Linked DNA regions of Caenorhabditis elegans. The protein of the gene in region 1 purifies or fractionates together with the protein of each later gene. This does not show direct contact. Each region holds a gene or a part of one and is shown in the gene's direction. Other genes may lie near its edges.

Region 1 (14,425 bases):
AGTGAATTTTAGTTTTGTTTGTGGTCAAATGTTGTTTGATTCCAACGAACAATTCGATTTGCTCAACGATTTGAGTAGAATTTTTAAAGTTTGAATTGTTGAGTTTGCATTTTTCGACAATTTCGGCAGTATCCGGAAGATTCCGAAAAAAAGGTCCATGCCCACCGACTAGATCAAATATGGTGCACTTTTTGACTCGAAATTTATTTTCAACGTTTTGAAGGTGGAATATGTAGGGAAATCAATAAAAACCATTTCTAAACTGCCAAAAAGACAAAATATCACAGTAAAATTGTTCAATAAATATAGGAAAATTGTTATATTTTAAGTCAAAAAGTGGTGAAATGAGAGTGTGCGATATTTTATAAAAGTCTAAACTACTGTTGCATGTACGAACCCCTGCAATATTAAAAAATGAAGATATTGAGCATAAAACTAGGAGAATTTACCGTATATTCTCTATTAGTGCTGCATCTCCAGTAGTCGTGCAGTCTCTAATAGTGCTGCATTCAAAAAGGGTCCGAAAAATAGTGCTGCAGTCTCTATTAGTGCTGCACCTCATTTTCTATTGAAAGAGTCATTTGATAGTTTCGATATTTTTGGGTATTTTATTGTATATTTTTGATGATTTTTTTGATAATTCACAAAAGTAATTAAATTATTGGATCTTTTTGTTACAAAGGTTGGCAATTTTAATGAATTTCTGCTTAAAAAATGTGCTTTTGTGACTGAAAACCAGTGATCTATAATTGAAAATAGCCGTTCGAAAATTAATGCTGCAGTCTCCAGTAGTACTGCAGTCTCTAATAGTGCTGCAACTTTTTAAAATTTTTATTTATATTTTTATTCAAATTTGTCATGATAGCACCAGAAATCGTGTTTGATAATCTCCTCACAGGCTCACAATCCGTCTTTTAAAATCTTATACACTTTTTGAATGTCTTCAAAATTCTTGGCAACTTTATTAGTTTTTTTTGTCTAGAATACCATAAATTTTATTGTGTTACTATCATTTTACACGTTTTTCCCCTCTTTTTTATATTGGAACAGGCAATTGCCCTTTTTCAAATATAAAGGTTCCTCCCAAGAACACTTAAAAAAATGCCAGTTTTGGTTTTTTCCCCATTCCGTTCAAGACGAGCAAACAATCTCTTTTCCCTTCGCTCCACAAATCCATCGTATTTTTTAATTTTCCCGTAGCACAACAATTCTTGCTGAATTCAAATGTGTGTATGAAATCCAATACATTTTTTCCATACGATGACCCATCCATTATGTTTCATTTCGCTCCAAAACTATGTGCGCCCGCACTATTTCCCGGAGAAGAAGCCGAGAGACATATACACATTGAGCGCGCCAGGGGCCTCCCATCATTTTATATCCAACGTCTCACACTTGTTCCTTCATTGCCGTATGTTTATCAAAAAAAAAAAGCGGCGTCGCCGGGGGCTATCAATCTCAATTCATCTCTTTCATCACTACAACATCCATTATTCTTCCACGTTTTCTAATTTTTACCGGCGCTGCGGAAATATTTGATGGACTTTCTGATTGTGACAGCTAGCAAATGAGCCAGAGGAAATAGAACATCTGAAATATTTTCGAAACTGCCTAGTTTTTGCATGATCAAATATGGACTACGCTCGGTGGGGAAATGATTGAAAATCAATGCTAAAATTACCGAAAATCATAATAAAATTAAAAGTGTTTATTTTTTGATTTGAGTCAAAAAGCGGTTAAAACTAAGTTTCCACCAATTTCCAGTTTTTTTGGAAGTCGTCGATATTTTTTAATTATGCTTAAAATATGCATATTTAAATTTTTTTTGGAAATGGCCAAGCTCAGTTTTCACCACTTTTTGACACGGTATAGAGTCTTTTCTAAAAAATTTTGAAAAGCTTTGCTATAACGATTTGTCATTTCGGCATCATATGCATAGATTTTACCGTTTTCCCATTGGCCGTGGTCCACTTTCAAAAAATGTGGAATAAGCTTTTAACATTCAACAAGAATTCCTTCCAAGGAATGCCACGAATTTTTTCCACAAATTATGCGAATATGATCGTAAAACGTTCAATAAAAGCCGACTACAAAAGGTCGTGTCAGATCTGAAAGAGGAGCAGAAAAGAGGCTCCCACGATCAAGAATGCACCTCCTCGCTCGGCTCACCCGGTTTTAATGCATTCGTATTTTTGTGCCCCCCTTCAGAGTTTACTCTCTTGTTTTCTCGCCTCACTTGCCTTCATTTTATTTATTTTGTTCAGTTCGCCCAAAATTTCTTTGTCCTTACGTTAGTGCCATTAGTGTATTTTCAATCGGTTGGTGAAAGGTAGCAATTGCCAGTTTCCCAGGTAATAAACATCGCACCTTCACGCTATTTCTTGTTGATAACGATTTACCGAACCCTTTTTCAAAATGTTTGAATTCATGGTGAATGGTTTGAATATTCAGTTAGTGACTTTTGTCAACCGCAACATTGTTCCAATCTCATATCCTATTCAATGTGATGTTCTTTATCTGGCAGCCCGTTTGCCTCCTGAATAATTCACAAACGCAATTTCAATATCTATCACGTATTTCCTTCCTCTCTCTCTTCTAAGATTTTAAATCTGTTCCTCTTCCCGTTTTCTGATTGTTGTTGGAGGAACAGATTGCATCCAGTTGTAATCTGTCAGTCAATTTTTGTAACAAGTTCCTAACCTAGTAATATGACACCTTCCAATAGACATGCCAATGTGCTAATCCTTCTGGTGTGGGGTCAGTTTGGTAGGTCAATCATATCACATTTCGCATTTTTCTCACTTTCTTGTTAATTAACAACTTGTTGAAGGAGATCAAGTAGAATAAAGTACCATAATAGGTGTCAAAGGAGTTTGAAATGAGATATTGCAAAAGTATACAACAGTTTACCGCAACTTATTTGACATCCATACAGTAATAGAAAAGTGTGTTATATTACTGTTCAAATATAAGACACATAGGTAACATAATTTTCTTTATCCACCACTCGCAGAACAAACGTATTTAATACGTATTTCTTGAATTTTGACATACGTGTTACTAATTTTAATACAGAGTATTTTCTATATTACTATTGCATACAATACTATTCTTCTATTTGAGACTTTTAGATGCAACGTTACTACGATTGCAGGAGTGCTTAGAACTATACTTTAGAACTTAAGGTAAAATGGAACATTTTTCATTCCCCAATATAATAACTAATCATAAGTTGTTGTAAGATTTATAGACTTTGGCAACTGAACATTAAAATTCCAATAAACGTATAGTCCAAATATTGCATTTGCTGTCAGAATATTTCAATTGCCATACTTATTTTTAAAGAAGAGCTAGAAATGCAATATCTTTTTAAGCTGCTCATTGTTTAAAATATAAACTAATGAATTTTCCTTTCTCAAATCTTTTCCGACAAGCCAACAACATATTCCACCTTGAAGGTCATCATATCCACACTTATCTCGAAAACATAACCAGGCCAACGTGCCTCGACACCATCAACATACGCGTGGTAGACAAGACAAGGGGGGCCAAGAAATCGGTGGGCCGAATCTATCGGCGTTCACGGTGTGGTGTGACTAATTGATGGTTGTTAGTACGGGAGTAGTAGTACATGAGATGTCGACGGCGGATAACCAGACGAAGGACCTACTCGAGGTCGTGTCCGGTTGTTCACAGTCTCTTTTCCTCACCTTTCATCCCTTTTCCAATTTAATGAGCCTTCTAATTATGTGCCATCAGACTCGGAGTATAATTATAACCTTTAAGACATGGCAGTGAATACAGTTTGGTTAGAACTTAGACTTTCCGCATGTTTTTCGTGTATCGGTGTGTACCAAATTAGAAAGAAATGCTTATTATGGATGCTCATCAGTTTTAATTGAGAAATACAGAAAAAATATGTTGATTTTAAAGTATTCGAAAATCAAAAAACTTAGTTAAGAGAATCTCAAAAACTGAAAGTTATTATTTCGATGATTTTGATGAATTTTAAATTTTCAAAAGCGGAATAAAAATATACAAGAATTCAAAAAATTGGCAGTCATGAATACATACCTTCCGTACATGCAAAAAAGTTGTTAGATTGGTTTTTATTTTGTCCTAAAGGTGATCTGAAAATCCTTTCGTATGGGGCTAAAGTGAGTGGTCAAATGGTTAATAAAACTATTCAAAAAACTGTGAAAAATTTTTATTTCGATAAAAACATAAAACTAATAAATATTTTTTTAGTTTTATGTTTTAATTGGGTTCAAAAAATTTATATTACACTATCGAACATTGTGTTACTAAATGTGATAGCTGGCGCAAGTTCGGGTTTAACCATTTTTTGAATCGAAACAAAAACATTTTCAAAAACTGTTTAAAAGTTTTATTATGATAATTTGTAATCTTAACGGTATGAAAATAAGTTTTAATCATTTTCGCACTGCCCGTATTTTATCTTTTTTTGTAAAAAATTTAAAAAAAATTAATTTCTAACTTTGAAAGCGTAATTATTATACCAAAATTTACAGTCCCGTAGATTTTCTGCACACCCCTCTGGTTGATATTTTCATACCTTAAGAAAAGTAATAAAACTTGTCATTTCGCTGGCTGTTATGACAATGCATGTTTGACTTTAGCCAAAAATTAATCAACAAGCTACCTATGCCACCAAAATGTATTGTCGGTGTTTCTTTTTGCCGTTTGCGGTAAACCGAATAACATGCATGCAAATATTAGTTTACCGTTGGCGATGAAAGGTCGCAGAGCCCTAATTCGTACTGACAGCCGTGTGAGGCGAGTAGGGGACCCACTGATTTATTGCTCTCCGCCAAAAGTTTTATTACCTCCTTTTCGTCTTGCCAAATTCCACTAAATTGCACTGGAAAACCCAGCGGCTCAAGAATCAGCTGCTCACCCTGGAGCTCCTGGAGTATCTCAAGAGGTTGTGAGTCAAGCTTTTGCAATGGTCGCAAGCAGCCGCCAGTCCCTTTTTTTTCGTTGTTCTGCCGTTTTAATTAATGATCTGATCGGGCGGGTGTTAAAGAACAGAAGAACGGCTGATCGATTGCTCACGGCGCAGGGCACACACTTGAAGAGTATATTTTTTTCTTTTTGTTCTAAGCTTTTCTGCTGGAAATGAAAGAAGATTGATGAGTCGAATAAACAAGCCATTTCCCCCAGTTGTTGCAAGTATTCCTGTTTGTTTTTCAACTACAAATTATAACCCATTATTACTGTGTACTTGAAATTGTTATCAAAACGCGGTGAAAGTAACAAAGGAACTGTTTGCATTTGTAGAACACGCCATAATTTCTTTCATAAACATTTGACCTCCATTAGTGTTACATAACTTTCCAGGAACCACGGCGTTACATTTTCATATAAAAGGAATAGAAAAATAAAAGCCGAAAGCGTGAAAACAAAGAAAAGCCTTTGAAGATTTAAAGTTCAAGGAATTCTGTCGGCGCTTTTTTTTTGGTTGCCTGTTCCGGTAGCCATGATCTCGTTCCGTTTTTCACATTACACTACCTCACACGCACATTTATTTCTCGCCTTTTCACCTTTTTCACCTTCTCACCTACATTACGTCTTTCTGTTTCACCACTTTTTGTGCGAATTCTCAAATAGTCTCATAAAAGTGCGAAATCATTACCATGGTCATGCTCATTGCGTTCTTCGTTCGAGACGCGCATTCAACGTGGCCACTCTTTGTCTCTAATTACACACAGCCTTCCTGGAAGGTCGTTTTTAAATGAACGTACTTCTAGCGTGATATGTTATTCGGTTAGTGTCTGTTCAGTTTCGTATGTTCGCAATTTCAATGGTCTTTAACGGTCGATTTGTCAGAATTTCCGGCGGGTGGTACGAGTCAACAGTGGTGATTGACTGCTACTGCAAGGAATTGAACAGAGAGTCGAACGAAAACTTTGATCAATTTTTTTTGTCTGCCCTGTTTGTGAAATCAGAAAATCATTAAATCTAACAATGACTCATGTAAAATGAGCATTTTCACAAAAAAAGTGCACTATTAGAAAACTGATATAACTTTTTTTTAAAGTTTAGATAGATTGGAGAAACTGTATATTTTTTAGTTTTGTTAGTTAGGAAATGTTTTCTCACAATTTTCATTATTGATTTAGTTGTAAAAAAAATTTAAAATGCCGGAAAAGTGTCACCGGAGAAAAATACTGAAAAAAGTCATAGTAAGAAGTTTCTTAAAAAATTGTTATTTTGTTTGAAAAAAGTGATAATTGTTTAGTTTTGGTCATTTTTTATGAACGCCGTGAATCAAAAAAAATGTTGTTTTTCGAATTTTTAAGTGTACTTACATTATAATGAATTTAATTTTTTTGTTGAAACTTCAGTACTGTATTTTTTTAAAGAGGCAAAACTCAATAATTGCCACTTTTTGACTGTCATTAAAAATGTTTAAAAATTGCTTTGAAAAGTTTTATTATGGAATTTGGTAATTTTGGCACTATCTTCGGATAAAATATTTGATTTTAGAATTTAGAAATTCTAGACCTCTTTTTCAAATTTACGATTCCTATTTAAAAATGACTTCCTAAGAATCTTGTTCCCACTAGGGATCTTATATTTTCGTTTTTCGTTTTTTAAATGCTATACTTCTCAGAGGTACTAATTCCCACTGAACCTGCCTCAGGCAGTTAATTTTTCGTCGTCCTCCTCCAATTTTTTAATACCCATTTCTTCTGATCGTAGAACATCTGTCTTGGATGCTTGGGCAGGGATGTTCTCATTGAAAAGCGATAAAACTTTCAAGACACTGTTCAATTTACAGAACATTCGCTACTTCCTCTTCAACACCTGTCTTTTCGCTTCTGATGAGGTACCACCACCGCCGATCCACACAGACCGCCACCCCTCCCGCCAAGACTCCGCCCCTCTATTCTTCATTGCTATGCTTGCGCGAAGGCTGCCCTCTTCCCCCCCCCACCACTTTCTGGCCACCCACTTTTCCTTGGTGCAAAAACCATAGCTTTGTACAGTTTGAGTGAGTTCAATGCTTCTGAATCGTCTTCTTTCGAACTTTTTTCTCCAGCTTCTTGATGGGTTAATGTGCAATGCAATGAAGCACATGTACATAGTACTCTCTTTCTTCCACACATATGGTTTACGTTTCCTATGTGTCCCTCTCCTTGATGCAATCTCTTAGCAGCCTTCACTCTATACATGATTTTTAATATATATCTTTCTTACAAAACTTGTTTCTTTTCTTCTCCCAATTTTTTTCCATTTTCTTTGCTCTGAGTCACGGTGTTACTAGAGAAGTCATCTGCCAAAAACTCATATTGCGGTTGGTCCTCACACCTATTCTCTACCTATTCATCGTAGAAGCCCAATTGGTTTTCTCATTACTTCACACCCTCATCTACCGCGAGTACAACGTTCGCTTTTTCATTTCTCCATTTTTTAGAGTACCGAAAGTGTCATTGGTGGTATAAATTGCTCTTTTGAATTTCTGGGAATAGTCAGGAGCAACAGCTCCCATCAACCACCACGGTACGATCCATTAAATTAACATATAGTGCAGCTTGAAATTGAAATTGAGTGAAGTGGTAATTGATGAGAGGGTGTGTGCAAATTGAAAAAGGAGGCACAACACGCCAGAAAAAGAGCAAGACCACCAACTACATTTTTCTAGCTTCCTCTCGCATTTTTTTTTTCACGCGCATCTTGACAAGCTTATCTGTTCTTGGTCTTCAACTATTGACCCCATCTATCCGTTTTCCATGTTTCATTTCTTCCAATTTTTTTTTGTTGCTCTTCTCCTTTTCCAACTTTCACACCCACCAACCTCGTTGCTTTCGGCTTTTGCAACTTACTAGTTAATTCCAACTTTTTTCTTCTTCTCACTCCATATATTCTAATATAAATATGAAAGCCGCCGAGATGAGTATAATAACGCGCTCTTCCTGAATAGCTTCCCGCAAAAGAGCGGATATTTGAGCATCTGCCCCCAGGCCCTCTTCACACTTCTCTATTTCATTTTGGGCCTGTCAAATTGAATTTCGTACGTTGTTGTTCCTTCTAGACTTTGACCACTTTTTTCAATTTCCTCATATGCTTTTTTGGCTTTTTTCAGAGTCTCCGACGCTCATCTATGTCAGGATGAAGTTGCTGCTGTATCTATTCGGTGTCACATTTCATAGCAACACAGTAGTCGCATTGGAATTAAGTAAGTGTACGGTCAATTGACTTTCCTTCTTCTAAATATGGCAATATTGCAAAAAAGTGTCCGTTTTGGGAAAGTGGCCAAGAAAAGAGGAGGGGACGATTGTTAGAAATGCATCATATTTTTGTCACCAGTTGCACTCTAAACTCCTAAACTAGTACACTTTTTTCTCTTCTCCTCCTCGCCCATTAGCTCTCATCACGTTTTGGTGGCTTACACGCCGGAATTTATGGGAGGCAAAAGGAAACGACATGATGATGAAAAGGGTATGCAGTTAAGAAGGTGAAACCGACAAACGGAAAAAAACGTTTTGGGGACAACCTAACTTTTTTTTGAGATACCATCAGTTTGCGCGAAATTGTGAATAGTCAGCGGCAGGAGATGATATCAAAAGGCATAAAAGGAGTGGGTTAGTTTTGAATCGGACACTTGCAGTGACATAAAGATGGTCACAAGTGGATAGTGATGAATTATAGGCCGGGTTGTTTCTATGACAATATGATCAAAATCTCGAGATAAAAATAATGCATAAAAATAATGCTATTTCAAATATCAACCAGATCTCGACCCCTCGCAATAGTCAAAAAGTCACTAAACCTCTTCAGAAAATTGATGACACCGATTAGGGGCAGGTGCATGTGTAATTGCCGTAATCGCAATCGATCCGTATTCTTGAGCATTGAGCGTAAAATCTGAATAGCTTTGCATTGCGCAATGTGACAAAGAAGTGTTTGTGTGTGTGGGTGTTGGGTGACAGGAGGTAGAATATAGTATTCAATTTATTGCCTTTCATTTTCGATGCTCACAACTCACATGCGTATAAATCACAACACAGTGTTGCTGCTCCGAGGGCTACTTTCACTAGATTTTTGATATTTTGAGAGGGGTGTATGATGACGATGATTCGATTTGTTAGTAGACTAGTGGGAAAAAATGTCGTTGAAAAACGAAAACCAATTTCTTGTGGTCCCGAAAACTCATCATTTGGGTCTTTCCTATGACAGCTGCTTGTCGTTCAATTGCTAAATAACACATCATAACATTGTTCTTTTAGTCGTCCTTATCATTTCTCTCGTTTTTGAAAACAAGATGCACAGAAATCTGCCAGCTTCTCCACAATGTTTTGTAAGATTTTGGGGGATAATATATAATCAAAAGCGGATGGGGGTGACAGTTTTGTCGGGCCGGTTCCCCTCGCTTCCGGAGATGCGCAACTGTTGCAATGCACAAAGATGCCGACGAGAGGTTCCTGCTCACAAAGTGCCACAATGATCGATTGCTTACAGTTTATACCAAACACTCTTTGACAACTTGCTGGCGAGTATCTGGTCGAGCCTATCAAATAAAAAAGAGCCGAAAATGTCGCTGTAAAAAAAACTTAATTGTATGTATTGCGTGGCCAACTTGATTGGCCAGGTTGACATTTTGCACACCTACCTGACTCATTCAACTAAAAGCTTTTGCTTTTTGTTTCGATTTCTTAGGTTTTTTATTAGGTGTGTGTTTTCTTCCAATACCCAAAAAAGAAGAAGACAGTTGCATTATCGTAATCCGTTTTGTTATCGTTTGCATGATTAACGAGATTGCGCAACTTGACATGGCGGCGCACATCACAGAGATTAGTAGCCATGCGCAATTTCTATGGAAACTGACCTGGAGAACGTGCGAAAGGTCACAACACTGGTCCATTAGAGCACTACTCGGAGAAGAGGATATCAACAACATTTGTCATCGTATTTCTCACCTTTCAACCTCACAAATAACAAAACAATTGTTTATCTTACACTACCAGAATGATAAAACGTCTCGAGAGTGTTGCTAGTTACTGGTTGTAAATCATCGCTTGTGGTGTCCTACAACATAAACCTGGTGCGCGAGAAGGTCGTGTGCACAATCTCCATTTTTATTGCTAATTTATGTCTTGACGCACAGACGTCAGGTACTCAATTCTTGCAAATCCATAATGTGACCATAAAAATTGTGCTGCTGTTTGGGTTGTAAAAGACAGGTATAATTATCCGGAATTATCCGCTGGCAACAAAGATAATCGTAAAATATTATTCTGCGGAGGTCTTCGCCTTTTTGGAAATAGATTTAGATTTTCAATTCGACGTGAAACATGCGAAAATTGTGGTTGTACGCGGCAACTCATATGATTAGAAAGCATTGGTTTGATTTGGTGAGCTCAAAAAATTCAATTGAGGATGCCAGCAGACCCGGGTCCTATTTGCTCTTTTTAGGCACATCTCTCGGTAGCCTTGTTGACCGCATATCAGATTAGGCATTGTCGGAAAAAGGATGAGAATACATAATGTCAACAAACGGGGCTACATGACAAAGCATACAATGATAAGTACACTAAACCAAAAAATAAAGGCGGCTGAAATATGATAGGGTGCTCTTAAACTCTTTCAACTCTTTTCCAATTAATAAATTATGTTTCAGGAGAATGCAGTCACCAATTGGGAATGTCAAATCGAAAGATTCGTGATGAGCAAATCTCGGCGTCTTCGAGTTTCGACTTGCAAAGCACTGGACCTCAACATGCTCGGTAAGTGGTTTGGGAACTACTCATTTGAAATTCGTACTACGTTTGAATCCCTTGAAACTTTAATGCAAATTTCCACGGACTTGATAGAAACATAGAAAATTTGAATTACTTTCTCTCTGCCAATCCTTTTAGCATTTTCTCACGAGTTATTTGAATTGTGGGGACCGTTCAAATTTGAAATACACTACACAAAAAATTAGTTGGCATCTTGCTTAATTATAGCGAGCTGACTGTCAACAGGAAGAGAGCTATTGTGTTAGCCTAATAATTAGTCTCTTCCCTAATTACGGTATCCGCTTTCACATCGTTTTGTATAGTGTTGTGACCCCACCCAGGAGAATTCACGCGTTCCCAAAGGCGGCTTTACAAGATGGTTAGAGGGGGGATTACTGCTCTTTGCAAGTTCACGCGTTCGCCAAACTCATTGAAATTGAAATTGAGAGCGCATTGGCATGGCACATCTAATTTGGACAAGCTTCTGACGGGGGAACGTGATGCTTCATCAGTAGCATACGTTAACGCCTCAACAAGCGATTTATCTAGTTTGATTGTTTTGACAGGCCGCATGCGGTGCTGGGGGCTTTCCATTGCTTCACTTCCTAATTGCAATGTGTTGCATTGCGTAGATAAAATCTTGATTAGGAGCTCATCTGGAGAATGAGAGGAGAAGGAAGATGGAATGGAAATTGAGAGCCACACAACGAGAAATTGCAATATACAATAGTATAAATATAAAATAACATACTTTTTATCACTTAAAGGTGAACTACGGTCAGTAGAGAAATATTCCTAATCTTCTAAAATATCCAAATAACTTATTTTTTGTGTAGAATATTTTTATTTTCAGTCAAAAAGCGGTAAAAAACGGTTATTTTAAAAACCTCTAATTGTGAATACTGTCGCATGCATAAACCCCTACTGTCTTGAGATAGGAATTTTCCAAATAAAATTAAACATAAAACTGAATGGAACATATTTTTTTCTTGATTTACGATGTCCAAAAAATGGGTGAAAACTGAGTTTTCACCGCTTTTTGACTTGAAATGAAATTTCCAATATTTTTTGAAAAGTTTTATTACAAGATTGGAAGCACCATAGGAATGTTTTTTGTCTACCTACAAGTCTCAAATTTAATACATTTAAACATTTATCGTTATGTATTGTTTTCACATGGGAATGAATTTTATATTTTAATATTCCAATTCAATTTTTTCAGAGCTCATCAAGAATCTGGAAGTGGTGCCTGGTGTCCGAAGAATCAAATAAACTCTCTCAGCAAAGAATGGTTGCAGATTTCGTTTTCCGTGGATACAGGTTTCGAGCAGAATCTAGAAAATTCTAACAAAAAGCCCAATTTTTTCAGTAATAACTTCTGTGGAGACCCAGGGACGATTTGACGACGGACGTGGAATGGAGTATGCGACCGCATTCAAAATTCAGTACTGGCGACCTTCGCTAAACGCATGGGCATCTTATAAAGACGATTTTGAGCTAGAGGTTCGTCCTTTTCATTCAGAATGACCGCTAATTATGGTATCGGCACTCTTTGGAAAGCGCACCGTTATATTTATGCGCTTAACGCCATTAGCCCCAAATATCTGAGATATGTGAATCACAAAAAGAACCTTGCGAAGAGAACAATAGAAATCTAGCTATGACTTTTGACACACCATTTTGACACACCATTCATACTGTCACTATACGAGCAACGGTGGGGGGAAGAAAGACGGGACACGATTTGAATAGAATACAATACAAAAACGCGTTATTCGAGATTTATTACAAGGTCTTCTGCCCCACAATTCGTTGTGTCCGTTTTCGGAGATATCATGAGATTCTATTGAGATTCAAATTTTTATCCATGTACATCCTGTGCTTGGTTATTTTTTTGATGGGAAAAGTGTCGTTGTTCCGTTCTTTTTTTAGTTTGTGTTTTTTTTCTGTTCTTAGAATGAAAAGAAAAAAAACGGAAAAGACTGATCGACAATTGACACGCTATACATGTTCAATTACATTGTGCATTTTTCCTGCAAAAGTGGCTCACTCGACTACCATACCACATTAGAAACCACTAGTGGCTTTTTAGTAAATTAGCTGAAATTTTGTTCAAATACATAGAGGAAACACTTGACACTGGGGCATTGTACGAAGACACGAATTAAGTATTGTCGTAAAATGCGGTACAGTGAATTGAAGAGGGGGGCACTGAGTGACAATGCATCTGCCAGCCACTTGTCGAGACGTGTGTATGATCGGCTCAAGATCATATCGACACATATGTCGCCAGCCATGCTATTCTGCATAACAGGAATTTGAACATGAACATCGGGCACCACAAAACGCATAAAAAACCGTCGGTGATGAGTCTATATCTAAGAAAAGGCTTTCCGAACCGGTCAGTTAATAGAATAGCCTTTAGTTAGGGGTCAATCCAAAAATGGGTAGGCGGCGTGGCTTTCAAGTAACTGCCAGTTAATCCTCTTATGCTCCGGTGACTTTTTGCTTCAGTAATCCTTGGCGGAATAAAAGTGTTATGCGGATAACCGTTCGTCGCAGGATTACCTAATAGACTATTTGGGAATAAATAAGAATAAATTGTAGTGAATAATGAATTGAGGCAGTTTATTTTTTGTATATTTTTTTTGTTGATATTTTTGCAAATTGTTCAAATGATTATAACTTCGAATGAATTAATAAAATACTGCTCAAAACTATATTAACTTGTGTTTGCATGTATTAGGAATTCACTAAATTCATGGGAAAAAATAAAGCGTTCGACATCTCATAAGTCTTGTTTTGATGATGATAAATAAAACGACTATAACTCAAAAACTACATTTAATAAAAAGTTTGTGAAAGTCACATTTGTTTGAAAAATTTGCAAAATTAAAAAAAAAACTCATTGGCCAGCACTGTAAATGAACATCACTTTTGCTCTATTGAAACAAAATTCCATGTTTTATACCTTCTGAGAAATCTAACGCCATGAAAAATTCAAAAAAATTTTGTTGTCATTTTACAGGTGTTGATTTTAGTGTTTCATCCAATTTATCGTTAATTTTTCAGACAATTCCTGCTAATAATGACACGGAGCACGCAATCCGGCGACATCTTGACCGGGCAATCATAGCAAGAAGAATCAGAATTGTTCCAGTTTCAAATTCCACCAGAACTGTTTGCATGAGAGTTGAAGTTTTCGGATGCCCATTTGATGGTTTGTACTTTTTTCGTTTCTAGATAGTTTATGAATCATGTTTTATAAAGTTTTTTCTTTGTTTCCTAGACATTCCTTTATGAAATTTAGCAATTACATTCATTTTCAGATAGTCTCGTGTTTTACAATGTCGATCAAGGCGATTTGCAATCTGGCATCTCTTATCACGACTTTTCCTACGATGGTAATCTCGCCAACTCTCCACACTTAACCGGCGGTATTGGGAAGTTATACGACGGCGAAGTGGGAAAAAACAATGTATTTGTTAATCACCACAAATGGGTTGGATGGAGACGTAAAAGAAATGGCAATGTGAAGTTGGCATTTGAGTTTTCCGAATTGAGAAATATATCAGGGATTTTGATTCATACGTCGAACGAGTTCAAAAAGAGCGCAAAGGTAGTCATCAATTTGTGAATAATATTTTAATAATTATGCTTAAGGCATTTTCCTCGGCTAC
Region 2 (16,076 bases), on another chromosome or scaffold:
AACTTCAAGAACACATGTTTCAATAAACACACTATTGTACCCAAATTTTTGTAACAATATTGCAGCTAAATTGTTAGGTTTTAGGCCAAATTCAATCTATATAGATTTGCAAGGGAACTAAGAAAGTAATTTGCAAAAAGTTGGAAACATTTGTTCATTACTCTTAGAGGCAGTAAAATTACTCAAAATTTGTCTTTTTGGCAATTATTTTTATCAAAATTTTTGAATTTTTTTCAAAAAAAAATTCCAAAAAAAATTTTCTGGCCCATAAAGTTGCGTAAAAATGTCATAATTTTAGTTTCACCGCTCAAATTTATGTGAAAACCTGGTCTGCTAATACTACACGAAGTTCTGGCCTTCTTCATTGAATTTTTCGCGCTCCATTGACAATCGCCTTCCGGACCACGCGTGGGAAAGTCGTGTACTCCGCACGGACAAATACATTTAGTTTTACAACTAAAATCGAGCCGCGACGCGACACGCAACGCACCGTAAATCTACCCCAGATATGGCCGAACCAATATGGCCAACTCTTCCATTTCAATTTATAAGGGAAGCCAGAATACTACTCTAAATGAAACTTTATTTTTCATTTTTACCAAATTTTATATCAAATCTTCAATTTCTGATAAACGTCAAATAACCTACAAATTTTCCAATTCAATTAGTACAACAGTTCGACCTTTTGAATTAAGTGACCACTCGTTCCTAACAGTAATCATCAGAATTGAATAGAAGATGGTTTAAACCGAATAGCTTTGACTGATCAAATCGGAGAAGAAATGTACCTCAAAAGTGCAGAACTTGTTAGAAGACAAAAGGAAAATGAGAGAAAGAAGGATAGGCAAAAAAGAATACCGTAGTAATTCCATACCTATTTTTTTCATTCGTTGTTTAATCGTGATTATCACTTGAAAACAACAAAATCAAATAAGTTGAACGTAAAGGCGAAATGACAGGTAAAGAAAGGGATTTTGCGATGGGGGGAAATGAAACCAAATATATTTGAGATGATTAAGGAAATGCCACCTGGCAGCACATACAGACTGTTTGGAATGTTTGTAGATATTAAACTAACAAATGATTTCAGAATCAGGAACATAATAAAACACACATTCGGATATACACACGGTCTAAGCCTAAGCCAAAGCATAAGCCTAAACATATGCCTAAGCCTAAGACTAAGCCTAAGGCTAAGCCTAGGTATATGCTTAAGCCTAAACCTAAGCCTAAGCCTAAGCCTAAGCCTAAGTCTAAGTCTAAGTCTAAGCTTAAGCCTAACCTAAGCCTAAGCCTACGCTTAAGCCTAAGTCTAAGCCTAAGCACAAGCCTGAGCCTAAGCCAAAGCCTAGATTTAGCCTAAGCCTAAGCCTAAGCCTAAACCTGAGCCTAAGCCTAAGCCTAAGCCTAAGCCTAAGCTTAAGCCTAAGCCTAAGCCTAAGCCTAAACCTAAAAAAAACCTAAGCCTAAGCAAGCCCATTCATAACAACGGATCAATACTTTGCATAGCTTGCTTTTTCATTGCCTCTCCAAAAGGTGTTCCTTTTTTATTCATTTATTTCATATATATCTTCTCCGATCATTACCCCCAGCCGATTCAACAAAAAAACCCGATTATCTAGGGAGAACACTTCGGGAAGAATAAGACGGCTGCGGAAAGTACAAAGCCTTAAACAACAATGTCACGGAACATTTGGAGGGAAAAACTTGGTTAGACTGGCGGAGGACACTTGGCAGGTGTTGTTTTCATTTGTTGCATGGATTTTTTATGGCATGGGAACCAACCATATATTTTTTTTGCAGGTCAAATTTCTCTCTTTATGTATTCACGCTCTATCGATAAACTTAAAACTTTGGAGAAGGGCCCCTACGACAATATGGTGCACCCCTAATAATTAAACCTAATAATTATATTTAAACTGTTTTTTTCCATCTTTTTTCTTTCTCTTTCTTTCTCTCAATTTTTCCTGCCGTTTAGAAAAACGACGCCGCAGGAATACCTGTTCTCTTTTTTTTCTCGAATCAAACAAAATATCTTACAAATTATATAAGGTTTTGTGTATGTCTATGTGTGTGTGTGACCTTTCTCGATTTGGGCAAAAAACGACCTTTTTCACATCGCAACCAAACATGGAGTCAACGTCATCAGTGACTTCCGTGTAAGCATTTGATCACTGGAACCGTAATTGATAAATGTTGAAAAACGGAATGGGCAAATAACTGTTTTTTTAAAAATTTTATAAGAAATTTTTTATTCATTGGCAGATTTTTAACGCCTAAAACGCTACAGTTTGCACAAAGCCAAAAATCATTTTCCAAATTTTGATTTGTTTAAATTAACTGCACAGTATGAACTTTTACATAAAAACGGGTTTCTGGCTTTCCTCATAAATTGAAATGGAAGAGTTTGCCGAACTAGGTCATTTCGCTCGGCTTTATCTGGGGTAGATTTACGGCGCGTTGCGTGTCGCGTCGCGGCTCGATTTCAGTTGTAAAACTAAATGTATTTGTCCGTGTGCAGTACACGACTTTCCCACGCGTTGTCCGGCAGGCGATTGTCAATGGAGCGCGAAAAATTCAATGAGGAAGGACAGAAGCCCGTGCATAAAGATGGTTGAAAATTAAAATAATTTATTTTGATTGTCTATGAAGACTACACAGCCATATATTCCTAAAATCAAAATTTGAATTTTTGAGAGTTCCTTTTTCCAGATTTCAGATCTTCCAGATTTTCTGTTCAACTTCCTATTTTAAGAATTCTTTCCTAACTAGTCTTTCCTAGGACTAACCTATTTTGTTCAGTATTTTCTAATAGTTTTGACAATTCTGAACAGGTTTATAAAAGAAAAAAGAATCGCTTCATATGATTTTTCCGTCATTCTGGAATTTTTAAAAAATCAGCTTTTCATTACTTTTATAAATTTTTAAATAATACTTTCGTACATGCTAGCCTTATTCGCCTAGGATTTTCTCATAATAATGCTAATTCTGAACTACTTTATAAAAGAAAAAAGAATCGCTTCATATGATTTTTCCGTCATTCTGGAATTTTTTAAAAATCAGTTTTTTTAATCAATTTTTTAAAAATACTTCCGGTCAAGCTAACCTACTTTGTTTAGTATTTTCTGATCATTATTCCAATTCTAAACTATTTTATGAAAGAAAAACGAATCGCTTCATATGATTTTTCAGTCATTTTGGAATTTTGAAAAAATCATCTTTTTATTATTTTTATCAATTTGTAAAAATTACTTCCGGTTAAGCTAACCTACTTTGTTTAGTATTTTCTGGTAGTTTTGACAATTCTAAAGAGGTTTATAAAAGAAAAAAGAATCGCTTCATATGATTTTTCCGTCATTCTGGAATTTTGAAAATATCAGCTTTTCATTATTTTTATCAATTTTTTAAAAATATTTCCGGTCAAGCTAAGCTATTTTGTTTAGTATTTTCTGGTAGTTTTGACAATTCTAAATAGGTTTAAAAAAGAAAAAAAAAGCATTTCATATGATTTTTCCGTCATTCTGGAATTTTGAAAATATCAGCTTTTCATTACTTTTATAAATTTTTAAAAAATACTTCCGTACATGCTAGCCTAATTGGCCTAGGATTTTCTCATAATAATGCAAATCCTGAACAGGTTTATAAAAGAAAAAATAATCGCTTCATATGATCTTTCCGTCATTTGGGAAGTTTGCTAAAATCCAAAAAAAAAACTCCATTTTCATTTATTGATTTTCCGAAAAAAAATCGTTCAAATATTTCGTATCATGCTTCAAATGTTTATTTTTGATTACACAATCGCAAGCTCAAATATATAAAAAATCTACGTAATAAAGTAACTGTTCAATTTTCAGAGAATGTATACAACACGTTGCAGCTACTGTTGGCGTGACTGCGGCTCGAGAAATCAATCCAGTTGTTAGTAGGGTGAGTTTTTTTTTGTGAATTAAAAAAACAAAAGAAAATAAAATAAAAAACTTGCCATTTTCTGGGCATGGCTAATGGTAAAAATTTACAAAACATTTTCTCATTAATTTGATATTAAGTGTTACCAAAAATGCATGACCAGCTTTGCAAAATGTTAAAAAAAAAGGACCCGTGAAATGTCGGCCGCGCTACGATATCTTCAAGAATTATTTCAAATTAACAAGCTGTCCAAATTAATGACTAAAAAATTATAGCAACCGACATCTCACAGGTTGTTAGAGAAAGGTTACATGGTGCATCGACCGGAAATATCTGACTCAACTTTGACTACTTATATCTCTGCTGGTTTTGGTTTTTTTTTGAAAAAGTGTCAATTGACAAAATATTTATCGTTTTTTCTACTACAACTTTGCATTTTAACACTTTTTGATAGCAGCAGACTTAGGCTTAGGCTTGACTTAGGCTTAGGCTCAGGCTCATGCTTAGTTTTAGGCTAAGGCTTAGTTTTAGGCTTAGGCTTAGGCCTACTCTTAGGCCTAGTTTTAGGCCCAAAGGATAACCTCCCGGAAATACCGAAAAATCCAAAAAAAAAGTTCTAACCAACCTCTTCAGTCTCCTCAACTTCCACTTCCTGGGGTTTTAAAAATTGCGAAAAAACAATTAAATCCCAAAATTGTTTATTCACATTTTTCACAACAAATGCGCCTTTCTGATTACACTGAGGACATTTTTTATCTCTAATTTTCTCACGACAACTGTCACATAACGTATGACCGCATGTGCCGATGCAAGGGATTCGGATGGCGTTGTCTGTAAAAACATCCATTTTTGGAGCGTGTCCTATATTTTGTAAGTAGAGATTTTTGAAAACTGACAGGATTGTCGCATGTTTCGACCCCTACAATTTTTCAATACAAATAATTAAAACAAAATTGAAGTATAAAAAATGTAGGAAAACAAATTTTTTTTTTGGTCGACTTCCAAAATTATGAGTGGCAAAAACTGAGTGGTTGTCACTTTTTGACAGTAAATAAAAAAGTTTCTAAAAACTTTTGAAAAGTTTTATTATGATATTCGGTACTTTTCGGATTAAAGGAGTGGATCTTAACAATCTTCCCACTGGCGCTACTTCACCTCTAATGATTTAAAAATGAGTTTTTTGTAAAATTTGAAAAATCATTAAAATAATTTTTTTAAAACATAATTTTCAGTAATTACACCCAACTCTCTAAATTTCCAAAAAAAATGAAAACTTTCAGAAAAATTTCCAACAATATTCACCATATTCCTCATAGCAAATTCCACACTCTGCAACTTTACTCATTAAAAAAAAAACAACTAAATGTATTTATTGAAGAGAATTTCAAAAAGTCAAATTCATCATTTATATATTATATACTAATGTAAGGTGAGAAATTGTCTAAGGAACCATAGGAATGTTTCCTTCCTCATCGCAATTTCTCATTTCATGAGTTTACTACTTTCCTGCAAAAAGATAACATGTATCTTAGGAACTAATTTTTATTTCAATTTATTTATTCGAATCGCAGAAATTTCCGGCAATTTTGGCTATTGCCGATATTACAGAAACTAAATTTGCAAAAGTTATCAGTTATCGGTAATTCTAAGCCTAAGCTTAAACCTAAAACTAAGCCTAAGCTTAAGCCTAATCCTGAGCCTAAGCCTAAACCTAGTAAATAATTTTACCTCTAGTTTCACTATGTATCATTTCAATTCAATAACATGCAAAAAAGTAAATGGACAAACTCCACTAAATTCAGAAAACCTTTGCTTCTGGTAAATACTCTTTAGGCAGCAGGTGATTTTAATTGTCTATAGGTGTTATAACTCCACAATAAATTCTTTTAACAAGTTATTATATATTTTTATTTCCAGCTCCCACTATGAATGTTGACTTTAAAGACCCTGTATGGCTAATCAATAGTTACAATTTTGTTGGTATTTTTTCTATATCAATAAATACGGCGACTATTTTTTTTGATTATTTTCAAAAGCGAGAAGATGGAGAGTATGAAGTATCATATTCTGGCGTTTCAGGTGATCTCCTTTAAATGTGGAGTATCGAAATCTGGAAAATATTTTTAATTGACTCCAAATTTTCCGCTGATTCCGAATCTCGATGTGAAAAAAATCAAAAATTCAAAAAAATCTGATAGATTTGGATTCTAGATTTTTTAAAAATATTATAGATGAGTTTTTGGGACAGGAAAGTAAATTTAAGCCGCGCTAGAGAGGTTTTTGTGTCGAGTTCCAATTTTCACAGGTATATGTAGGCGCAAAAAAACAAAAATAAAAATTATGGAATTCCGGAAGAATTGAAGTAAATTTAAGCCGCGCTAGAGAGGTTTTTGTGTCGAGTTCCAATTTTCACAGGTATATGTAGGCGCAAAAAAACAAAAATAAAAATTATGGAATTCCGGAAGAATTGAAGTAAATTTAAGCCGCGCTAGAGAGGTTTTTGTGTCGAGTTCCAATTTTCACAGGTATATGTAGGCGCAAAAAAACAAAAATAAAAATTATGGAATTCCAGAAGAATTGAACTCATCCCACCCCTCCCACTCCCACTCCCCAGTCGAAGCAGTTACCGACTGATCCAGGGAGGATGAGGGAAGCCTAGCTCCTCGGTGTGTGTGACTTTTCCGACCTAGATTTACAAATTAAAATCAAAACGGTTCACGGAAAAAAGTAATGACTGTTGAAAAACTGCTTATTTTATTGCATTTGTTCAATTTATTAAATTTTCCAATTTCCCGGTTGCCAAAAAATCAATAAAATTCAATTTTCAGAAAACCAATAAAATTATATTTCTCATCAAAATTCAAATTTCTATGACGTCGCCAGAATTAAATTTCTAGGTCACCGGTGACGTCTTCAGGCATAGTTTAAGTTTTCTAGGCCACCAGTGGCGTCATTTATTTCCCCAGGTATAATTTGAAACTTCTAGGCCACCGGTCACATCATTAATTTGTCTTCCACGGTCAAAATATTTCTCTTCCAGAACTAAAATAAGATTTCTAGTCCACCAATGACGTCATATCTTCTCCAAAAAAGCTATCAAGGTTTCCTAGACCATTAGTGACGTAATAAGTAGGCAATGATATTTCTAGGCCACGGCCCCCCCCCCCCCCCTCTGATCAAAAAACAAAGTTATGAGTCAACTTAACTTATTAGAATGCTGACTCACCCAGTCAACACCAATCTAATCTTTCCCTGTCTCCTCCCTACCACTGCCTGCGCCTCTCCGTCTCGCGCGCTCTCTCTCCCACTCCGCTCACCGCCTGCGTCTCCGTTTCTCTCCCGGTCATTCCTCATTCACTCAATCTTGCAAAATTTCGGTTGTAACGAATTTCGAGTTAGATTTTTTCTAAAAATAATCAAAAATTCCGTCGAAAAATCAACTTGCGGCGATGCTCAACGTGGAGCCCTCATTTGCAGAGGAGCTGCGGAGCAGCGGGGTTTCTCTGTCGGCTACTGTGAGTTTTTTATTAGTTTTTTCCCCGAAAATATAAAATTGTCTTTCAGTACCTCGGAAGTGTTCCAGTAGTCGAGTCAATTAACGTGATGGTTTCCGAGATGAGAGTTCAAGTTGTTTCGTTAGTTTTTCTTATGGCTTAAAATCAAAAAAAAATCTTATTCAAAAATTTAGAAATCAGGCGGTAGGCAGGCATGAAGGCAGGTAACATCTGCAAGCTCAAATATATAAAAAATCTACGTAATAAAGTAACTGTTCAATTTTCAGAGAATGTATACAACACGTTGCAGCTACTGTTGGCGTGACTGCGGCTCGAGAAATCAATCCAGTTGTTAGTAGGGTGAGTTTTTTTTTGTGAATTAAAAAAACAAAAGAAAATAAAATAAAAAACTTGCCATTTTCTGGGCATGGCTAATGGTAAAAATTTACAAAACATTTTCTCATTAATTTGATATTAAGTGTTACCAAAAATGCATGACCAGCTTTGCAAAATGTTTAAAAAAAAGGACCCGTGAAATGTCGGCCGCGCTACGATATCATCAAGAATTATTTCAAATTAACAAGCTGTCCAAATTAATGACTAAAAAATTATAGCAACCGACATCTCACAGGTTATTAGAGAAAGGTTACATGGTGCATCGACTGGAAATATCTGACTCAACTTTGACTACTTATATCTCTGCTGGTTTTGGTTTTTTTTTGAAAAAGTGTCAATTGACAAAATATTTATCGTTTTTTCTACTACAACTTTGCATTTTAACACTTTTTGATAGCAGCGAAATAAACTGAGATAATTACATGGTGCATCGACATGCTCAAATTTTGATAGCTTATATATCCAGTAAAATTCAGCCAAAAGCCTGCCACTATAGAATGTACTAAAGCAACCGACATCTTACAGGTCGATCAAAAATCGCGCTAAATGATGTCAGCCGCTATTCATAGAAAAGTTATTATCACTAATTTCGACTAAAATTATTGCAGCCGACACTTCACGGGTCGATGAAAAAGCCCAGGTAAACCATCCTTATTTTCAGGTAATCGGTGAAGTGAAAAAAGAAAACTTCCCCGTAGACATCAACATTTCCTCGAAAATGATCAAAATCATAAAACAAAGTCGTCTAATTCAACGTCATCCCTTCTCATTCTTCTCATTCGGAGCCCAAGGCCAAAAGGGTACGGACACGGAGCTAATGTTCGGCTACATTGCAAAAAACAAGGATGGAACGGATCGTCGATGCCACGTGGTGTTCATCGAGGATGTGCACAAGCTCATCGACGTCCTTACCACTGCGATCAATGTGAACACTTTTGATGCACAGGCGAATGCTTCAACTTCTAACGATGGATTTACGGTGCCGGCGCCGCCGATGAGACATCGAAGTTCCCTGCATCGACAGTCATTTGTGTCGAATTGCCGAGCACCTACTGTAACTGAGGATGTTGTGGGGAAAGTTTGGTATCATGGAAATTTATCCAGAGAGGATGCACAGGCTTTGTTGAAGACGGAAGGCGATTTTTTGGTTCGGTAAGGTTTTTTAGATTTTTTATAGAAAAAAGCTAGAATTTTGCTGAATTTCTAAAACGTTTGGCTTCATGCTCACTAGGTTCACACCAGGGGCGCGTGGGAATCGGAAATTTTCGGCAATTGCCAAAATTCCAACTGAATGCCGACATTTTCGGCAATTTTCAAACCTAATTATAATTCGAAAATTGAAAAAAAAGTTAACTGTGTTTTCAGTATTCGATTAGTCATTTTTAAAAGCAAACGGTCAATACTTAAAAAATTAAAAAATGTTTAGGCTCCTAAATCTACAAAAAAATATCAAATCTATATTTTCGGCAATTCGGGCAAAATTTGATTTTCGAAGAAAAAGGCTAATGTTTTAATAATTGGCAATTTTTTGGTAAAACCTGAGATAAGTAAAATATGAGCTATGATAGCTGATCAATGCATCATGTCTTCCATGTAACTTTTTCCAATCATATCTCGGTTTATATCGCTGCTAGCAAAAAGTGTTCATCTGCAAAGTTGTAGAAGAAAAAAGGATAAATATTTTGTCAATTAACAATTTTTCAATAAAACCACAACCAGCCGAGATATAACCTGCCAAAGTTTTGTGAGATATTTCTTGTCGATGCACCATGTTTCTCATGTAACTTTTTCCAATCATATCTCAGTTTATATCGCTGCTAGCAAAAAGTGTTGAACTGCAAAGTTGTAGTAGAAAAAAGGATAAACATTTTGTTAATTAACAATTTTTTAATAAAACCACAACCAGCCGAGATATAACCTGCCAAAGTTTTGTGAGATATTTCTTGTCGATGCACCATGTTTCTCATGTAACTTTTTCCGCTAATATCTCGGTTAATATCGCTGCTAGCAAAAAGTGTTCAACTGCAAACTTTTAGTAGAAAAAGTGATAAATATTTCGTCAATTGAAATTTTTTAAATAAAACCAAAACCAGCCGAGATATAAACTGCCAAAGTTGCGTGAGCCGGTCAATGCACCTTTCTTTAACAACCTGCGAGATGTCGGTCGCTATAATTTTTTACTAATAGTAAATCGGATAGCTTTTTAATATAAGCCTATTTTAACAGACTTCGTAGAAAAATCTGAAAGTCTAAAAAAATCAAATTTGACTGAAAAAATAGTATGAAAAATCCTTTTTTTATATATTTCTGACTTAAAGCTTCAGTCACATTTCATATCTGTAATTTGTTTGATAATATGTTCAGAAGCCACGGGACTTTAAATAATTCTTGAAAGACCAGGGAAAAATTTGGTATAATAAGTTCATCCTCCCAAAATTTTTTTAGATTTTTGTTTTAGGCTGAAATTTTTGTTCAAAAAAAATTCTGCGTTTTTTTTCCTGAAATACAAAAGATGCAAGGTTTGCATGATGCTAAGATTGTCTGAAGCAGCGGACACCTCACAGTCCCCCTTCTCTAAAAAAAGACCCGCAAGCTGTCGGCCGCTCAAACTTGTCCAGTTCCTTGCAGACAAAGCGACCACACGCCCGGCAAGTACGTGCTGAGTGGCCGAACCGCTGAAAACGAGCACAAACATCTCATCCTACTGGACAATCACAACGTAAGACCCTCCCCCCCCCCCCCCGCCAAACCTTCAAACCTCTCAAAATTCCAGAGAGTCCGAACCCGCGATCGCACGTTCAGCAACATCTCCGAGCTCATCGACTATCATGTGAACAATGGGATGGCCGTAAGATCAGAGGGTCGGGATCGCGAGACGTCGTTGAATCTGATCCGACCTGTGCCGTGCCCCGGAAGTGATGATATCGAATAGAGTCGGAATTTGTTTCCTATTTTTTTTTCGATTTCTAGCAGAAATTGAAAGTCGAGTAGCAAATTGCGTAAGACTTTTTCCTCTTCTCGTCGCCCCCCCCCCCTCTTTCATATAATTAGGTAGTTGTCCTTCTACCGTAACATGTCATTACTATCCTCTTTCTTTCCTTCTTTTTTTTGCGATTCTCCTCCTCGGCCACGCTCCAATTATACCCCCCACCCACCTGTATTCTTACGCCACCACCCCAACCAGCGCACACATCTTTTTGTATTCATTTTTCCATATATATTTGTATTATTACTACTATTACCCTCACTACTGTTATCGATTTTTCCCTCCACAAATTTATGATTCTGCACTGGATCATTTGGTCGGTGGTTGTGGTGCTGCCACCGCTGATTCGATCGGTGGCCATTGTGGACACTTCTATTGCGTGTGATAAGGTAGGGATGGCCTAGAAAAGTCACCTAGTCCAACACTCCCACCCCGTATCTATGTTTCTGCCATCTTGTGATATTTGCTCCATACCATATACCCTGCCCATTTCTGTCCTACTTTCATATCCTGAAAAAATGAAGTATTTGAGAATCGAGTTTTGAAAATATTAGTGGTGGCCTAGAAATTTTAGGCTTGGGTTTAGGCTTAGGCTTAGGCTTAGGCTTAGGTTCAAGCTTAGGCGTAGGCTTAGGATTGGGCTTAATCATGGGTTTAGGCTTAGGCTTAGGCTTTGGCTTAAGCCGAGACTTAGGTTTGGCGTCAGTGGCGAGCGTTAGCTTGCTACTGACGCTATTTAGGCTTAGGATTTTCCGGTTTTTTTTAGGCTTAGGCTTAGGCTTGAGCTTAGGCTTAGGCTTAGGCTTTGGTTTGGGCTTAGGCGTAGGCTTAGGCTGAACCTTAGGCTTAAGCTTAGACATTGGATTAGGCTCAGGCTTAGGCTTTTTGGAAGATGTGTGGAGCCAATAAAAAGTTGCATGGAAAAAATATGACGTCACAAATGACCTAAAATGTTTCATTGTTTTTGGCAAAAACACAATAGTTTAGAAATTTGGCTGCAAGAAGTTCCTCGGCCTAGAAACTCTCTTAAACTCTCGAAAAAGCGAATTTGAAGGGCATTTAATGGAAGATTAAAAACCCAGGCCAAAACCTTGAAGGTCACCACCCAAAAGGAAAAAAACGTCTTCAATATTGCAGACAGATTTCCTATTGAAAATCAAGTTTGACGAAAACTTCCGTGGCACGATACAAAGTCGCGCGGGCCATCCAAAGTGTATCTATGCAAATGGCACGCTTCAATCGGACACCAAATATCAGTTGAAGGTTTGCCTATTGAATGTATTGAATTTTTGGGCATTATTTGCTTAGATTCCGCTGACTGGCTGCTCGACCAAGGAGAACGGAGAAGGCAATTTGGAGAATGAGATCGAAGTTGTCATGGCTAACAATGAGTGGGTTTTTTTTTGCCATGTGGTACTAGGTTTTTTGCCGCTATGCTCACAAGGAAAGTATTTCCGCTCAGTTTTAAAGGTGGAGTAGCGCCAGTGGGGAAATTATGAAAAACCATTCATTTGGTCCCAAAGTGACCGAATATCATAATAAAACTTTTTTTTTTTGTAAATGTTTTATTTACTGTCAAAAAGTGGCAATTACTCAGGTAGTTTTGGATCATAATAAGTGTATTTAGACAAAATCCCCCACTGGCGCTACTCAAAATTTAAACTTGAAAATTAAATTTTTGAATTTTGAAAAAAGAGCTTTCAAATAGGTACCTACAAAAAATTCAGCGACATACGAGCACTTTAAACTAGAAAAATCTCGCTCTGAAGTTGCTGCCAGTGAATTTTTACTACCAAATTTGGAGGCTAGTTTAGAGATTTTTGAAAAATTTCATGATTTTTAGGCTATTTCAATATATACAAGTATTCTGAAAGCAGTTTGGAAATTTTCTGATTTCTCCTAATTTCTAATTTTTCTAATTTCTCAAATTTCTCCTAAAATCTGCAACTTTTTTCACCCAACAATTTTCATCGATCAGGATATTTTTTGGAATTTTTTTTTCAAAAAAAAAAAAACATTTTGCAAAAAGATTCCAGAATATTTGCCAACCTCGAAATACCCTAAAAATCATGGGGTTCTGGCGCGCCATGGCCTTCCTCATTGAGATTCTCGCGCTCCATTGGCAATCGCCCGTCGGGCAACGCGTGGGAAAGTCGTGTACTCCACACGGCCAACTACATTTAGTTTTACAACTAAAATCGAGCCGCGACGCGACACGCAACGCGCCGTAAATCTACCCCAGATATGGCCGAGCCAAAATGGCCTAGTTTGGCAACCTCTTCCATTTCAATTTATGAGGGAGGCCAAAAATCTGTGATTTCAGATCGATTTTTTTCTAATGTAGAATGATGATCATATTATGGTATTACCGGTACAGAGAGTGTAGATAGTTAGAGAGTGACAGACATCCGGGACCCAATGGGGCGGGGCGCGCGGAAGAGACGATTTGTGTCGATTTACGAAATTTTCCTCGTTGTCATCATTTCGTAAATCGACACGAATCGTCTCTTCCGCGCGCCCCGCCCCATTGGGTCCCGGATGTCAGTCACTCTCTAACTATCTACACTCTCTGTACCAGTAATATTTGTTATTGAAACTAATTTTTTTAGGAGCATTTTTTTTATTCCATGGTACCTAAAAAACCATATACGAACAAAAATAGACAAAAATAAAAAATAACTTCCTCATCGTTTTTTTTTAAGATTCAATGCAGAAACCGACAAACGATTCCTTCTGACCTGTATACCTGCTGCCCCTGTTCCTAAAGAATCTCAGGTGACCGTATCATTTGGTGGAATCACTATCAACTCGGATGCCACCACAGCAAGCAGCCTATCGGATAATAAGGTAAGGCTTCAAAATTATCGCTGCGAGACCCATATAATGTTTCAGACAGTCGACTACCGAGTTCGTGTTCTAGACGGCGACAGTTTGGATTCAAAGCAGCTACAACGTCCGTTAGCAGTTGGTGATAGAGTTGTAAGTCAGGAACTCCATAAATCAAAAGAAACTATTTGTAAATTGTAGACGTACACAGTTGAAATGAGCGATGATCAGAATGGACGAATCGGAAGGTGTTGGGCGAATGACGGGATATCCGAGCTACCACTGTCGGACTCACACGGATGCTCTTTGCAGACTTCTGGGGAGGTACGGTTTCATTAAAAAAAACATAGTGCATCGACATTTAAAACTGCCGAAAACTGGGTCCTGCCACCAGTTTTTCAAAAAAAAAAACTAACATTTTGCTCAAAATCATCATGGTGCATCGAAGAAACTTACAAAATTGGGTCGGTCAAACTTTTGGGGCTCTGCTTCGATAGTGAGTGGAGTACCAAAATTTGATACTTTGCCTTTTTAGACCCAAAATGGTCCAAAAACTACCAAATTTCGTATTAAGACGTTCTGAAAATTTTTCAAAAAAAAAAGTTATTATGACCTCTCAAAGTTTTGGAAAAATGGTCGATTTTTAGCTAAAATCTCAAATTTTGGCACCTTTTTAGTGTCGGAGCGGTTGGAACATATTTTTATGCATGTTTTTGCAATTTATCACGTGTTGTTTCTAAAATTAAGCTCCAGCTGTGACATTGAAAAGTTGCCAAAATTTGAGATTTTAGCTAAAAATCGACCATTTTTCCAAAACTTTGAACGGCCATAACTTTTTTTTTTGAAAATTTTTCAGAACAGGTTAATACGAATATTGGTAGTCTTGGACCGTTTTGGATCTAAAAAGACAGAGTATCAAATTTCGGTTCTCCACCTTTAAGCATGGCCAGGTGCTTTTCTAAAAATCGTGTAGCCCATAACTAATGCATCATTCGGGATATATTATTGAAAGAAAAAGTCCTGCACAAAATTTCGCGCTGAACACTCATTTTGATACATTTGGAAAAATCGATAATTTTCATTGATATTAAATACCCATTATGATTTTTTTTTTAATTTTAAAGGTGGAGTAGCGCCAGTGGGGAAATTACTACAAACCACTCAAATGGTGCCAGAATAATCGAATATCATAATAAAACTTTTCAAAATGTTTTTGAAAATTTTTTATTTACTGTCAAATTGGCAATTACTCAGTTTTTGCCACTCATAATTTTAAAAGTCGACCAAAAAAAAATTTTTTTCTACATTGTATAAAAACATTGTGTGGGTCGAAACACGCGACATTGCTTTGGATTTCCTCAAAAGCTCATATTTTTTTTCAATATTTTGGCAATTTGCCAAAACTTTGACCGGAAATTTTGAAAAATCTTAAATATTTTGGAGTGTTTCATTAAGATATTCGATCGTTTTGGATCATAATAAGTGTATTTAGACAAAATCCCCACTGGCGCTACTCCACCTTTATTTTTATGCCACTTATGCTAAGTGCGGTTTAAGTTCTACTAATATAAATCTTCATGGTGCATCGAGAAAAAAATGATACATTTTTAAAACTCTCTCCTTTCCAGGATGCACCATGTTTGACGTGAAATTCATCATGGTGTATCGACAAAAAAAAAAACAAAATGCTTCAATTTCTTATTTTATACACACCTGATCAATTTTCATTCCTGTGCATTTTACAAAATTTCACGCTGAAAATGTATGGTGCATTGATAAAAATTGAGAATTTAATAGGAACCTAATGAAATTGAATTTTTTACAAATCTATTGTTTTGCTAAACTTTCCCAAAACATCGGAAGGGTTCTTTTTTTTTTTTTCTAAATTTTCTCTTTTTTTCTCTTCATCATGGTGCATCGAGAAAGTATCAAAATCTGAGACTTTACTTTTTTAGATCAAAAATGACCCAAAACTACCGAATTTCTAAATGAGACGTTTTGAAAAATTCTCAAAAAAGAGTTATGGCCGCTCAAAGTTTTGGAAAAAAAGTCCCATTTTCAGCTAAAATCAAAATTTTCGCCAATTTTTTTCTCGGTCGGGAACTCAATTTTTATTTATAACTATAATATCACTCTTTTATAAATATTGTGGCCCTTTATAAGCCGTTTATTCGTCGATTAAAGTGCATTTTCGGGCAGTGGGGCACAAAAAAAATTACATTTTTATTCCTCCCCCAGCCCCCAAAACATTAGATTTTAGCTGAAAATATGCTATTTTCCAGAACTTTGAACCGCCATAACTTTGTTTTGAAAAATTTTCAAAACGTCTTACTAAACAATTCGGTAGTTTTGGGTCATTTTTGGTCTAAAAAAGTAAAGTCTCAAATTTCTTTACTCCTCCTATAACATTTTTTCTCGATGCACCATGATGATATTAGAGAACATTGGAAAACTAAAAAGATGTTTAG

What was found.
Region 2: the proteins of ddr-2 (region 1) and shc-1 purify together in Caenorhabditis elegans (affinity purification with western blotting, with the first as the bait; one study listed by BioGRID). This does not show direct contact.

Annotation. Positions count from the first base shown.
Region 1 is NC_003284.9:3,307,211-3,321,635, forward strand, and holds the start of ddr-2 (Discoidin domain-containing receptor tyrosine kinase B), read left to right. Parts: upstream 1-8,103; 5' UTR 8,104-8,136; coding exon 8,137-8,203; intron 8,204-8,243; exon of another isoform or gene 8,244-8,523; intron 8,524-9,845; exon of another isoform or gene 9,846-10,645; coding exon 10,646-10,751; intron 10,752-11,073; exon of another isoform or gene 11,074-11,393; intron 11,394-11,967; coding exon 11,968-12,065; intron 12,066-12,114; coding exon 12,115-12,248; intron 12,249-12,791; exon of another isoform or gene 12,792-13,071; intron 13,072-13,817; coding exon 13,818-13,965; intron 13,966-14,074; coding exon 14,075-14,364; intron 14,365-14,408; coding exon 14,409-14,425. UniProt on the Caenorhabditis elegans protein: Tyrosine-protein kinase receptor which, together with ddr-1, is involved in axon guidance to establish the tracts for the ventral and dorsal nerve cords during nervous system development.
Region 2 is NC_003279.8:964,332-980,407, reverse strand, and holds shc-1 (SHC-transforming protein homolog 1), read left to right. Parts: upstream 1-7,274; 5' UTR 7,275-7,355; coding exon 7,356-7,421; intron 7,422-7,470; coding exon 7,471-7,541; exon of another isoform or gene 7,542-7,687; coding exon 7,688-7,760; intron 7,761-8,321; exon of another isoform or gene 8,322-8,457; coding exon 8,458-8,948; intron 8,949-10,424; coding exon 10,425-10,515; intron 10,516-10,569; coding exon 10,570-10,728; 3' UTR 10,729-11,075; coding exon of another isoform or gene 11,076-11,171; 3' UTR 11,172-11,320; downstream 11,321-16,076. Other genes in the region: cutl-20 (ZP domain-containing protein), read left to right, coding at 11,076-11,171, 11,920-12,045, 12,091-12,173, 13,485-13,629, 13,675-13,761, 13,810-13,932. UniProt on the Caenorhabditis elegans protein: Scaffold protein which plays an important role in the activation of the JNK pathway composed of mlk-1, mek-1 and kgb-1; by bringing together mek-1 and mlk-1, promotes mlk-1-mediated phosphorylation and activation of mek-1 which in turn phosphorylates kgb-1.